Arabidopsis thaliana: one gene and its partners. The protein of the gene in region 1 interacts with the protein of each later gene in a pairwise test. Each region holds a gene or a part of one and is shown on either strand. Other genes may lie near its edges.

The links.
Region 2: the proteins of AT1G36060 (region 1) and GATA19 interact in a two-hybrid assay, tested with the Arabidopsis thaliana proteins (one large-scale study listed by BioGRID).
Region 3: the proteins of AT1G36060 (region 1) and AT1G10610 interact in a two-hybrid assay, tested with the Arabidopsis thaliana proteins (one large-scale study listed by BioGRID).

What each region holds. Positions count from the first base shown.
Region 1 is NC_003070.9:13,454,496-13,458,252, forward strand, and holds AT1G36060 (Integrase-type DNA-binding superfamily protein), read right to left. Parts: upstream 1,842-3,757; 5' UTR 1,168-1,841; coding exon 223-1,167; 3' UTR 1-222.
Region 2 is NC_003075.7:17,268,038-17,271,710, forward strand, and holds GATA19 (GATA transcription factor 19), read right to left. Parts: upstream 1,963-3,673; 5' UTR 1,626-1,962; coding exon 1,338-1,625; intron 1,217-1,337; coding exon 869-1,216; 3' UTR 652-868; downstream 1-651. UniProt on the Arabidopsis thaliana protein: Transcriptional regulator that specifically binds 5'-GATA-3' or 5'-GAT-3' motifs within gene promoters.
Region 3 is NC_003070.9:3,504,186-3,507,942, reverse strand, and holds the start of AT1G10610 (basic helix-loop-helix (bHLH) DNA-binding superfamily protein), read right to left. Parts: upstream 1,758-3,757; 5' UTR 1,481-1,757; coding exon 1,371-1,480; intron 1,065-1,370; exon of another isoform or gene 912-1,064; coding exon 714-911; intron 635-713; coding exon 571-634; intron 494-570; coding exon 425-493; intron 345-424; coding exon 1-344. Other genes in the region: AMSH2 (associated molecule with the SH3 domain of STAM 2), read right to left, coding at 2,753-2,927, 3,009-3,061, 3,144-3,206, 3,300-3,374, 3,455-3,517.

The DNA of each region.
Region 1 (3,757 bases):
TAGTAGTAATACTAACCATATTCATTTCAATTAAGAGAAAAGAAGAAGGGTCTACATGGTACGGCATGAACAAAAAAGCTTGAGCTGTCCATAATTTACACACTTGCATTACATTCATACAAAATGCTAAATTACAAATTTTACGCACAGCTAATAACCCTAAAGTTTAAAAGAAAATACAAACAAGTTAAAATGAATAAAAATGAATTGAATCCTAATTTTTCACGATAAAATTGAAGCCCAATCTATCTCATAAGAAGGACACTTGCCGAGCATGAAATTTTCATTCCATGGCATCTCTGGCTCTTGGCACATCTCCTGCACCATAACATCCGAAGTCGGTGAACCCGACCCATCACTTTCACCCGACCCGGAATGTTGTTGTGGCGCTGACGGCTGCTCAGCTGAAGAAGCCGCGGCTTTAGCTCGTTTCCTCGACGTCCTCTCCGTTTTGCCCGGCTGATTCTTCGGCTCAGCTAATATGGCTTCTAGTTTAGCGTCTACGGCAGCTTGAATAGGACCATATTCGCCGGTATCAGACGGAGACGAGCCGGTTTGGTATCGGAGAGCTGGGAAGTTAAGCCGAGCCGAGTCACCACGAAGCTTAAACGCGGCGCGATCATAAGCCAACGCGGCTTCTTCAGCCGTGTCGAATGTTCCGAGCCAAAGTCGGGTTCGGTTCCTGGGTAAACGGATCTCCGCGACCCATTTTCCCCAATGTCTTTGCCTCACTCCTCTATAGAGCTTAGCCGGTTTTGAAACCGAACCCGAACTCGGACCCGGTTGGGTCATAAAACCCGGTTGGCTCGGCTCAATGAAGTTAAGCATGCAAGTGTTGTTGTCTTGGTGAGTGTAAGTGATAGTGTTTTGGTAATGGAACTGAGATTGGTAGTTTTCGGGTTGTTGAAGATCCGACCCGAATGAAGATGGATAGGTCATGGATCCAGAATAAATATCCGGGTAAGAGGTTGTGGAATGTGAAGGGAATAAAGATGCATGAGGATTATAGTAAGAAGAAGAAGAAAATAGGTCGTTTGGGGCAGACGCAAACGCATCGTTTGAGGACGCAAACGCAGGATTTGAAGCAGACGTGGAAGCACTTTTGTAAAAAGGTTGAAGTGCTTCCATAAGCTCGCCGCCGTGGCCACCACCGAAGAGATCCGCCATCGGAGTTTCCTGAAATACAAAAAAAAATGTACTACAAAAAACAAGATTATATAAAATTATAATTAAAAAATGGTTGAAGAAATAAAACCTGTCTTTTTAGAAAAAATTCAAAGACTGGTTTTTTGGTTTATACAGAAATAAAAGTGATCAACGAGGTTTGAAATAAGCAACCTCCATAGATCAAAACTAAAATAAATTTATCAACAAAAAAAGAAATAAAATAAGAGGATCAAAACTTGAGGGAACTAAAAAATGCCCATGAAGTTGATCAACTCTATAAAAGAATGAAAGAATATTAATTGACAGAAAAAATCATAATATTTTTGATGGATATCGTTTTCTTGAAAACACTTTTCAAATACAATTTTAAACAAAAGTTTGTCGTTTTAGATGAGTTTTGGCAAAATATAAACTCATAAAGCAACACTTCATAAGAAAATCGTGATTTGTGTTTTCTCAAGAAAGACGACTGATGAATAGACAGGACATGGAAGAGTTTTTTTCTTTTGGTTTGAAGATGAAACGAAGCAAAGAAAGCAAGAAGAGAATAAACCCTAATTTCACTCAAATTTTAATCTCTCAATTTTTTTTTTCTTCTCTCACTCACACTCACTCTCTCTCACACACACAAACACTCTCTCTTTTGGAAGATGCTCTCAACCTCACCTTGGTAATACCCACCCAACTCTCACCGTTTATATAGAGGGCTTGTTCAATGAAGATAGATTAAAATATTGTTTGTACATCAATAATCCTAAAATAATGTACTTGACTTTTAAAAAAACGTATTTGACTTTAAAAAAATGTATTTGACTCCCACTATATAAGATACATATTTGATCCAAATATATATAAAAAAAGAAGTATAAAAAATAATTGAATAAAAACTGAATATAAATGTTGTAACTAGTGAAATGTTTCGAAGAATAGTTATGAATCCCTTGTTCAAAAAGTCGGCTGATCGGATAGAGTCTACCGCAATTTTGTCCAAATCGAAAAGATTAATCGTTGATCTGATTTATTCATCATAGATCCGCTTAAACCTGTCTAGAGGATGCCTAGTCCAAAACTTTTTTTTCATTTTTTTTTATTTTTTAAGATAAACATTTAAAAATATCCAACTTTTTAAATATCCAAATTTAAAACATCAAACTTATGTTCTAATTTGTATGAAAAAATCATAAATTTGAACTTAAAATCTTGTTTTCATGTGTTTAATACAATTCTAAAAACAATGTTATATAATTCTCTTAATTGTAATGGAGGAATATGTTTTAAAAATATTAAATAACCCTAAACTTAATTTCCGATTAATTTTCGTATAATCTCTGATTTTTTTGTTAGGTGATAGACCTATCCTCATCGTTCGACTAGCGCCTAACGATTTTTTGAGCAAGGATTATGACAAAGTGTTTTGGGTCAAAACCCACATAAACATTTATACGGTTGAATTTGTTCTTCTTGGTAGCGAGTACGGACGAACTACGGAGTACTGTGGGCAGAGCTGTTCTAGACAGAAGCATATCAAATATGAACTTGCGGACTTGCGTAAGCATAAGTACAACGGTTATTTTGGAAACAAATCAATACTTGAATTGGTTATATTGTTTGATGATAATTATTGTAGAGTTTGAATATTAACATTCGCACGACACTTGGACTCGTACGTGGAGACTGAAGATTCCATGCAGAGCAGAAGTTAAAGGTGCATTTGTTCTTAGCCAAAGAAACCAGGTCACATGTCCTTAGTGCCACAATTCGCATTTTTTGCCATTTTTGCGGTGTTTACGTTTTTTCCTTCTTTTTGCAACAGTCGTTGAAAATTAGTTGAGAAAAAAAGTGTTAACATCCTTCTGAGATCGATTAGTACTTCTACTATACCATTAAGTTACTATGCTTATACAAATAGATTTATCGAAAAACATTTAAGACCAATTGTTATGCAAGTATATTCAATTTTTATTATACTCCTTCCGTTTCACTTTAAGATGTTTTAGAGAAATTATTTTGTTTTATTAAGTGATATTTTCAAATTTCTACGCAAAAATATAAATATATTTGAAATGTTAAGAAAAATTATTGTTATAATAAAAATGTTTGAAATATATACTTCTAAATGTTTTGCATTTGAATTTTCTCCGAACTTAAATGGATGATGTTATGAGTAAAATGAAAGAGTGGCTTCATAAAATTACCACTAACACACTTCATTAACAAAAAAACGTTTTCTAAAATAGTGTTTTCTCTTTTCAATTCAGTAATTTTGTTGAAACTAAATTTGACAATTTTAGCATCTTAATAATGCTCGAAACCTCCAACCGTCAACAAATACCGTTGGAACAATAACAGTGATATAATTAAGTGATAATTTAATTTAATGATGAAATAATACCTTCTTCAATAAGTGATTTAAGTGATAATTAAGTTGCAAGATAGAAGAGCCACGTGAGAACGAAAGCATCACGTGATCTCAGGCGCAATTTGCTGCAAGTGGGAAATTGGACTTTACGTTGGCGTCGCCTCGAAATTAAGACTCACGCGTGTGATTTTTTGTCCCAATTAATCTCTCTTTTCTTTTGCTTACACACCA
Region 2 (3,673 bases), on another chromosome or scaffold:
AAAAAATAGAAAAACATTTCATTATTATTCTAATTGGAAGACAAATTTAGTAGTTTAGTGACTCTTTTTTCGTCTTGACTCTCATAAATGACTCAAAAAAAAATTGTTACTCTCGCTTTCTGTTGTTATAGAGTTTCAAAACACTTTATTATCTTGGATTGTGTTTCCGGAAACAATCAAATAAAAACTAACGTTTTTTTAATACAATAACTAAACACGTTATGAAAAAGATAAATATTCTTCACATGCAGTTGGCAGCAACAGTTTTAAGCAGAGCAGCACACGAAGACCTAATTGATGGTCAAATTTCCAAGACAATTTGGGCAAAACACGACAAACATTCAGCTTGGCCACCCTGCAGATATTTGTTGGCTTAATTTTCAAATTCGGTCCAAGTATTTGATTATTTCAATTTGGAAAAGAAACTCACAAATTAAACGTTTAAGATATAAGTATTTGTGAAGATAGTATCTGCATCCCAAAATATTCACATTCTCCGTACAAAAACCCAAAGATGCTTTAAAAAGAAATTAAAGGAATGAATATGTATTCTGTATATGTATAGTATATCACTGAATCGTGGTCAAAGTAGGACACACATCATGTAAAGGTTATAAAGTCACGAATTATTAGTTCATTACCCGAGAGAACATTTTAAAAGTCATGCAAGGAAAACACAAGTAGCATCCATCATACGAATTATAAATTTAAGAAAAACACTTACACAGAGACCAAAAAAAGACATTAAATATTTATATTTAAAGGAAAGTAAAATAAAGAATTTAACGAAGGCTAAGACTTTTCTTTTTTGTTAAAAGGTATCCAAGGCTAAGACTTATAAGGGGAATATCTATGAAATGATCACTCATCACATCGTAAAATCGTGGACAAGGCCGGTCCGGTCGGCGACGTTAAGCCTCCAAGACAAGAACGGGTCGGTTGTGACGTCATGATCAACAACTCTGACATCATCAACGTATGAGTATTCGTTATTGGCCGGCGAGTAATATGGAACTCTCTGCGTATTATGCTGATGGTGCCAAGGCGACGATGAAGCATATTGGTTATTATTGTTATAATAATAATTTGCACTTGCTTGATGATCCAAAGTTGGAACTCCAGCTGCAGTTGATCCTCCGCCGGAGGTCGAGTTTCTGGCGGTCGATGCACGTCTCTCTTCTTTCTTGAATCGGATTCCACACGCATTACACAACGACTGACCAAATTAAAAATCATATAAAGTTATTATCAATATTTGTTTTGTTGTACAGAGAGAAATATTAGTCCCACATCAAGAAATGATAAAATATTTGATGTAAAGGTTACATATTAAATACCTTGGGACCTCTTGGACCGTTTCTCCAAAGAGGAGTAGAAGTGGTGTCGCAGTTGGCGCAACGGCGAGCGAGGAGGTTATGTCCGCCGCCTCCACCGCCTTTCTTGGAACCGTTCAAGAAGTCCCAGCCTATGGTGTCGGAGGTATGAGACGAGAATCTACGTTCATCATCCTCGTTGCAGAGGCGAGTGGAGGGAGTTCCAAGTGAGAGAGTGCAGTCAACAGAAGCATATGGAGAGGAATGATGGCTGACGTCGTTTTCGGGGGAGAAGAACATTGAGAAACCCATCACTATATATGAACTTGGAAACCCTAGAAAGTTGATATTAAAATATATAGAGAGAAGGAGAAAGAGAAGTGTGTGTTGTGTGTGGTGTTTATGAGATGAATAAGTTCTCTAAGGAAACGGTGAAAGAAGAGTCAGCCAAAACAAAGAAAGAGTCCACGTTGCTGTTGTGAAATGGAGACAAGAAGTATTTATAGAGAATTTGGGAACTTGGCAAAAGAGGAAAATTTGGTCCCGGTCTTATTATGTGTGTATGATTAATCTATGCTTTATTCTTTTGTTCTTTAGATTTACATGTGAATTTGCTCCTTTAGTTTGTCTACAAAGATGTTGCAATGAATATTCTAAATATGTGTTGGTTTTTGTTCAGTTCTAAGCGATTTTTAATAACAAAACGTTTTAACCTAACAAAATTAATTAATGATACTGCTCCGAATCTAGATTATTATGCAAATTCATTGCATACCGTATAATATTCCACGACCAAGTACCAAGTGAGTAGTCTTGTTTAACAATGCTAAGCAAACTACAGTGTTTTGATATATTATTTAAATGGTAAAGTAAGAAAATAAATGATAAGTACATCTGCAGTTAAAGCAGCAGAGAGGAAGGTAGTCAAAAAAGAGGCACGTGACTGGCAATGTCACGGTCTTCCAAGGATCTGGTCTCTCTCTGATCACGATCATCTCGAAATTAAACGCTCCTTCTCTTTCCGAATCTCTTCTTCCACACGTCATCGCTCGCTTCACCAATTCGACGTGTCATACTCTCATATATGCATGAATCCATTTTATGTTCTAAATTCAAATAGTGTGCGACACTGTTAATGTTCACCGCACTACAATTTCAGTGGCTCTCTAACGACAGTCGTAATAATACAAATAAAATGTTGTATATGACGTATAATTATGTTGTTTTTAACCTTAATCAAAAAATTTGTTTTGTATGTGATTGAATATTGTTGTTACGATTGTGGTCAAGCATGAGAGATCGTAATCGCCAAGATCGGTGCTTTTAAGGAGTTAAAAGAACAAAACTAGCCAATGTTCAAGTTATAAGTGAACTAAAAAGGAATAAAGACAAAGTGAGATACTTTGCAATGATTTTAAAGCAATTACATTGTGTTCTTTCTTTAGCTTGGTGAGAGTTATTCTATGTTTCTATTGATTTAGTCAAAGAAGCAAACTCCAACCAAAATTTAAAATTTAAAAGAAAAAGGGTACAAAGAGAATGAACCCATCAAATGAGTACACTCTGTAGCTCTAAGCTCTTATTTCTTTATCCTTTATCTTCTTTCTCTTTTTATCTAATTTTGGATCAAATAACGAAGTTACGTTATCTCCAAGAACAGATCTATGTTTTTTTTGCTTTCAAAGTAAGGTTTTGTATCAAATAATTTTAAATTTGATCGGCCGACCCATTTTTGGATCAATTATCGTAATGGGGTACGTCAAAATGTGTAACGTTTTTATACTAATTTTATAAGCTCTCAACTAAAAAAAAAAATATTAAGAATAAATAAATTGTACGTTTTATGTTTATATATACTATTATTTGAGTTTCATTATCTTATTTACCAACATTCATTTCATTTTATTACAAACATGAAATATCAACTGTGTTTTCTATAAACCTCACTCGTTCAACAAAAGGAAAACAATCAAATTGATGAGTTTTAAGAATATCAATTCAATAATCTTGTTGGAGGATGTCGTGTGCCGCCAAACACGAGTGGACAAAATGCGTGAAACGGGAAAGAGTAAAAAAGATTAAAAGAACACCAAGAGACCCAGAGAGAGAGGGAACAAAGAGAATCGGATCGGTCTTGAGATTGGTTAATTTTTGGTTCAATTGAGATACGGCGACCACCGCTTTCCCAAAAGATGCCTCTCTGTCTCTTATGCTCTTTGCTTCGTAGAACACGAAACCTAACCCTAACGATTACCCCAAGACGCAAAGTGTTCGACTTCGTAATTTCACATTACATGTCATGTCTCTTCACTCACGTGACTTCTAATCTTATTATAATCTAACTGAGCTGTTGAAGCCTG
Region 3 (3,757 bases), about 10 Mb from region 1:
TTGAAGTTTTCCGTAGGAAGCAGCTTCTTATTAGCTTTGGAATCGTTGGCATTTTGCACCACAACATCCTTTTCCTTGTTCATTATCAAACACGGTGTTTGTTCCTCCCTGAGAATTTCCACACAACTAGCATTCGGGTAATTGCCGAAAAGATTCTGAGTTTCACTGGAGGGATTGGAAACACTTGATGATCCGCCGCCCTCAACGCTGAGATTCACACCGCTACTCATAGATTCCTCTGCTCGGGGAATGATCCTGAACTGCAGCCTTTGTTCAGGGAATGGTTCAAAGAAGGTGGTACAACGCGACATGATCAAATGCACCATGCTTTCATCAAACGGTCTCTGATACAGACCAACATTTTATGAAGTAACCACCAAAACCAATGACAGACTTTCTATGCGAAATGCTAACATGTTTTTACCATATCGAAAGCGAACAGCTCAACGAGACCATCACTCACAGGAACAAGAACACGAGTGCTGAACATTTCCTGCCAAAACACATGGAGATCAGATTGTTCTTATGATCAAACGAGTAAAAAAGGCTGACGAAAAGAGTCTTTTTTACCATTTTAGATCCTGAATTAACCAACCACTTTGGAGATTTTGACATCACTACTTCTCCATGAATCCTGCAATTGAGAAAGAAGCTTCATATTATTCTTGAAGAAAAAATTAACTTGAAAGGGGGTTGAATAGATGGAAACATACCCGGGATAGAGAGGCATGAAGAGAGGAAAACGAGAAAGCGCTTCACAAGCTAAGGTTCTTATACGATGCTTGTTGTGGTCATCTCTACAGAAAGAAGCCTTCTTTTTTCTCCCAGTTCCTCCTTCTTCTGAGTTTTCAAGCTTTATATTCTTATCAATATAACAACCACTGCAGCAGCATCCCACCCATTCAATAAACCTGTAGTTTAAATGGAATTCATACCAATTACGAGATGAAGATCATAAAACCCACAAACTTTTAGTAAAACTAGACAAGACAAAACCAAGAACAGGAGGTAGATGGTAAAGCAAAACAAACCATAAACCATTAAAATCAAAAACCAGATGAGCAAAAAAAAAAAAAAACAGAAACCAGAGAAATTTGATAGAACAGAGCCAGAAGTTACTAAGGACTAATCAAAATCAAAAAAATGGAAACTTTGCTACTGAAACAAAATAGTTTCAGGAAGCCAATAACAGAGCAAAAACAAAAAAAAAAGTCCTAATTCAGAAAGCAAAGATAAAAGACAAACACGAAAAACCCATCAGTATACATAAAAACGGAAGCTTTGCTACTGAAACAAAATAGTAGACAGCTGATGATGATTCACATGAACAACGAACAAATAACAAAGAAAAACCGGAGAGTGTGTTGAACCTAGAAGGATCATCACCGAGTTTCCAGATAACACATAAGTCCCAAGTTCTGGAATCGACAAAGGGTCGAAGAAACTCCTTCACTCTCTCACCACCTCTCATCATCATCATCTCACTCTCTCTCTCTCTCTCTCTCACTCTCTCTCTCTCTCTCTCTCTCTTACTCTCACTCTCTCAATCAACAATAAGAAAAGCCAAACAAGAAGCCTGAGTTTTGGTGATCTCTTTTGGTCTTACTTATAAATTGATGCAAGGAGAGAGGGAGAGAGAGAGAGATATTTGGCATATATATACAAAGCAGTTGCTCTGTCAAAACAAATCATATCGGGAATATACGATCGTACAAGACAATGGTAACCAACTTCACTTTTTGAATTAAAACCCAGAGAGAGAGAAAGAAAGAAGAGTGAATCGTCTGCGAGTCTCTGTACCCAAATCCGTGACAGAGGTGACTGTGACATCTGTAGAGAGAGAAGATAGGGTAAGAAAAAGAGAGGTTTTACTCTTGACTGTACGAAGAAAGCTATCATGTGCTTGAAAACGGCCATAAAGGGATTTGAAGCAAAACAAAGTACTGTATCTGTATGGGTTTTGATAGCAACACTCAACAATATGAAATGAGCTAGCTTTTTTTTTTCTGATAAAACCCATCCTCTGTACTATTTACTTTAACAAGGAAAGAGCTTTGATAGCTTTATTACTTTCAAAAGAAAAGTTTGGACCTTTGGTTCTGTTTTTGGGGTTTGTACTCTTGTTTCATGTGAAGAGAGGTATTTGGAATATGTCTTTACCAAAAAAGAGCTCAAAGATACCTTTTAAATTATTATTACAGCTAATTTATGGCTATTTTGTATCTAATTAATCAATCAAATGAGAAATGAAAAGAATGAAACTTGAATCAGACGAAAACTGTCAAAATGAATAATTTTTTAACAAGTCAAAGCTCAAGTTTAAAATTTTCCCGTCCTTTTTAAAAGCTCAACCATTTTCATCAGTCATCACTGGCAAGTTAAGAGGTATAAAATGGCGAAATATGGTGATAATATTAATGTAGTGTTATATGGAGAAATAGATGCCAATGTATACATTTGTACAGATATATAACAATTGCATACGCCAATACAATGTCTTATGTCTATGGTCATTGTTGTTCTTCCATAATGGAACCAATTGATCCAAATCTAAGGACATGACAATTTATTAACATTGCTAAGCTTAATAGAAGGTACCTTGTGTTCATAACCCGAATCAGACAGCCTTCTCAGACCAAGTATACAGTTCTGGTTAGGGTGGTGGTTATGATGACGGTTATTATTGACATCCTTAGCCCACAGTGGATAAAGTTTGAACCTTTTTACTGATAAGTCCACAGAAGTCGTTACCTTAACGTAGATCAAAAATCTCGAACCTAAGGTTCGAGTTCTTGTAGACGTTTGAGCAATGCTCATAAACTGGGTTCCCATCTTCTGGTTCTTTGTGCGGGTGGAATCCAGTCTCTGAGCAGCCTCTCAGTACCTCCATTCCTCCAGGGTCCGTTAGCTTAAATATCCCGTAACTCCTGCCAAAAAGATCAGTTTGAGAGTCTATCAAGGAAATATGTTGACTGTATAATTGACTCCATAGCTTTGGAAGAACATACTTAGAGCTATCAGTTGGAGCTACGACGATTGCAAAAGCCTCTGGCACCATTACCTAAGAATGACATGATGGGAAACTGAGATCAGAATTGTCTCAAACCTAGTATATATGCAATTTGGAAACAGCAGAGATGTACCTGATACGAATAATGTGTATGCAGATCTACAGATGACATGAAACAACCCTGAGAAGGATGAGTCTGGAAAATATGCATAACCTCGTTATAGTAAGTCAAGACAAAGTAGATAAACAGATCACTAAACATGGAGGGAGCTAGAAGAGAGAGATATACATGAATCCATCCTACGGGATAGAGTTCTCTTTCGTTTTGAATGGAAAACACTTCCACTTCATTCATAGCCTGACACTGCCAATTTTAGCACCTGAGTAAGCACCTCATTTTGAATACCACAAAATGATCGAGATAATCTTTCTAAGATAACTCACAGAATTAGAAGTTGATTCTTGCTTAGGTATTATCAGAGTGGTTACATAAAAAATTCCTCTTTCCTACAGCATGAACAGAAATAGAAATGTAATTACCATCAGGTTCATGAAACTCGAAAAACGAAGAACCCTGGAACAGAAGCAAAACAACCATGAATCATGACCACAAAAGTCAAAACAAGGTGTAAACTTTAAACAATAGCATAGATCGAGTTTCACTAAAAATTCAAATTTGCAAAGATCTCTGTTAGAAGTTGTAATTAGGAACAATAAAGTCTGAAACTTTCTAACATTTTCCTTGAT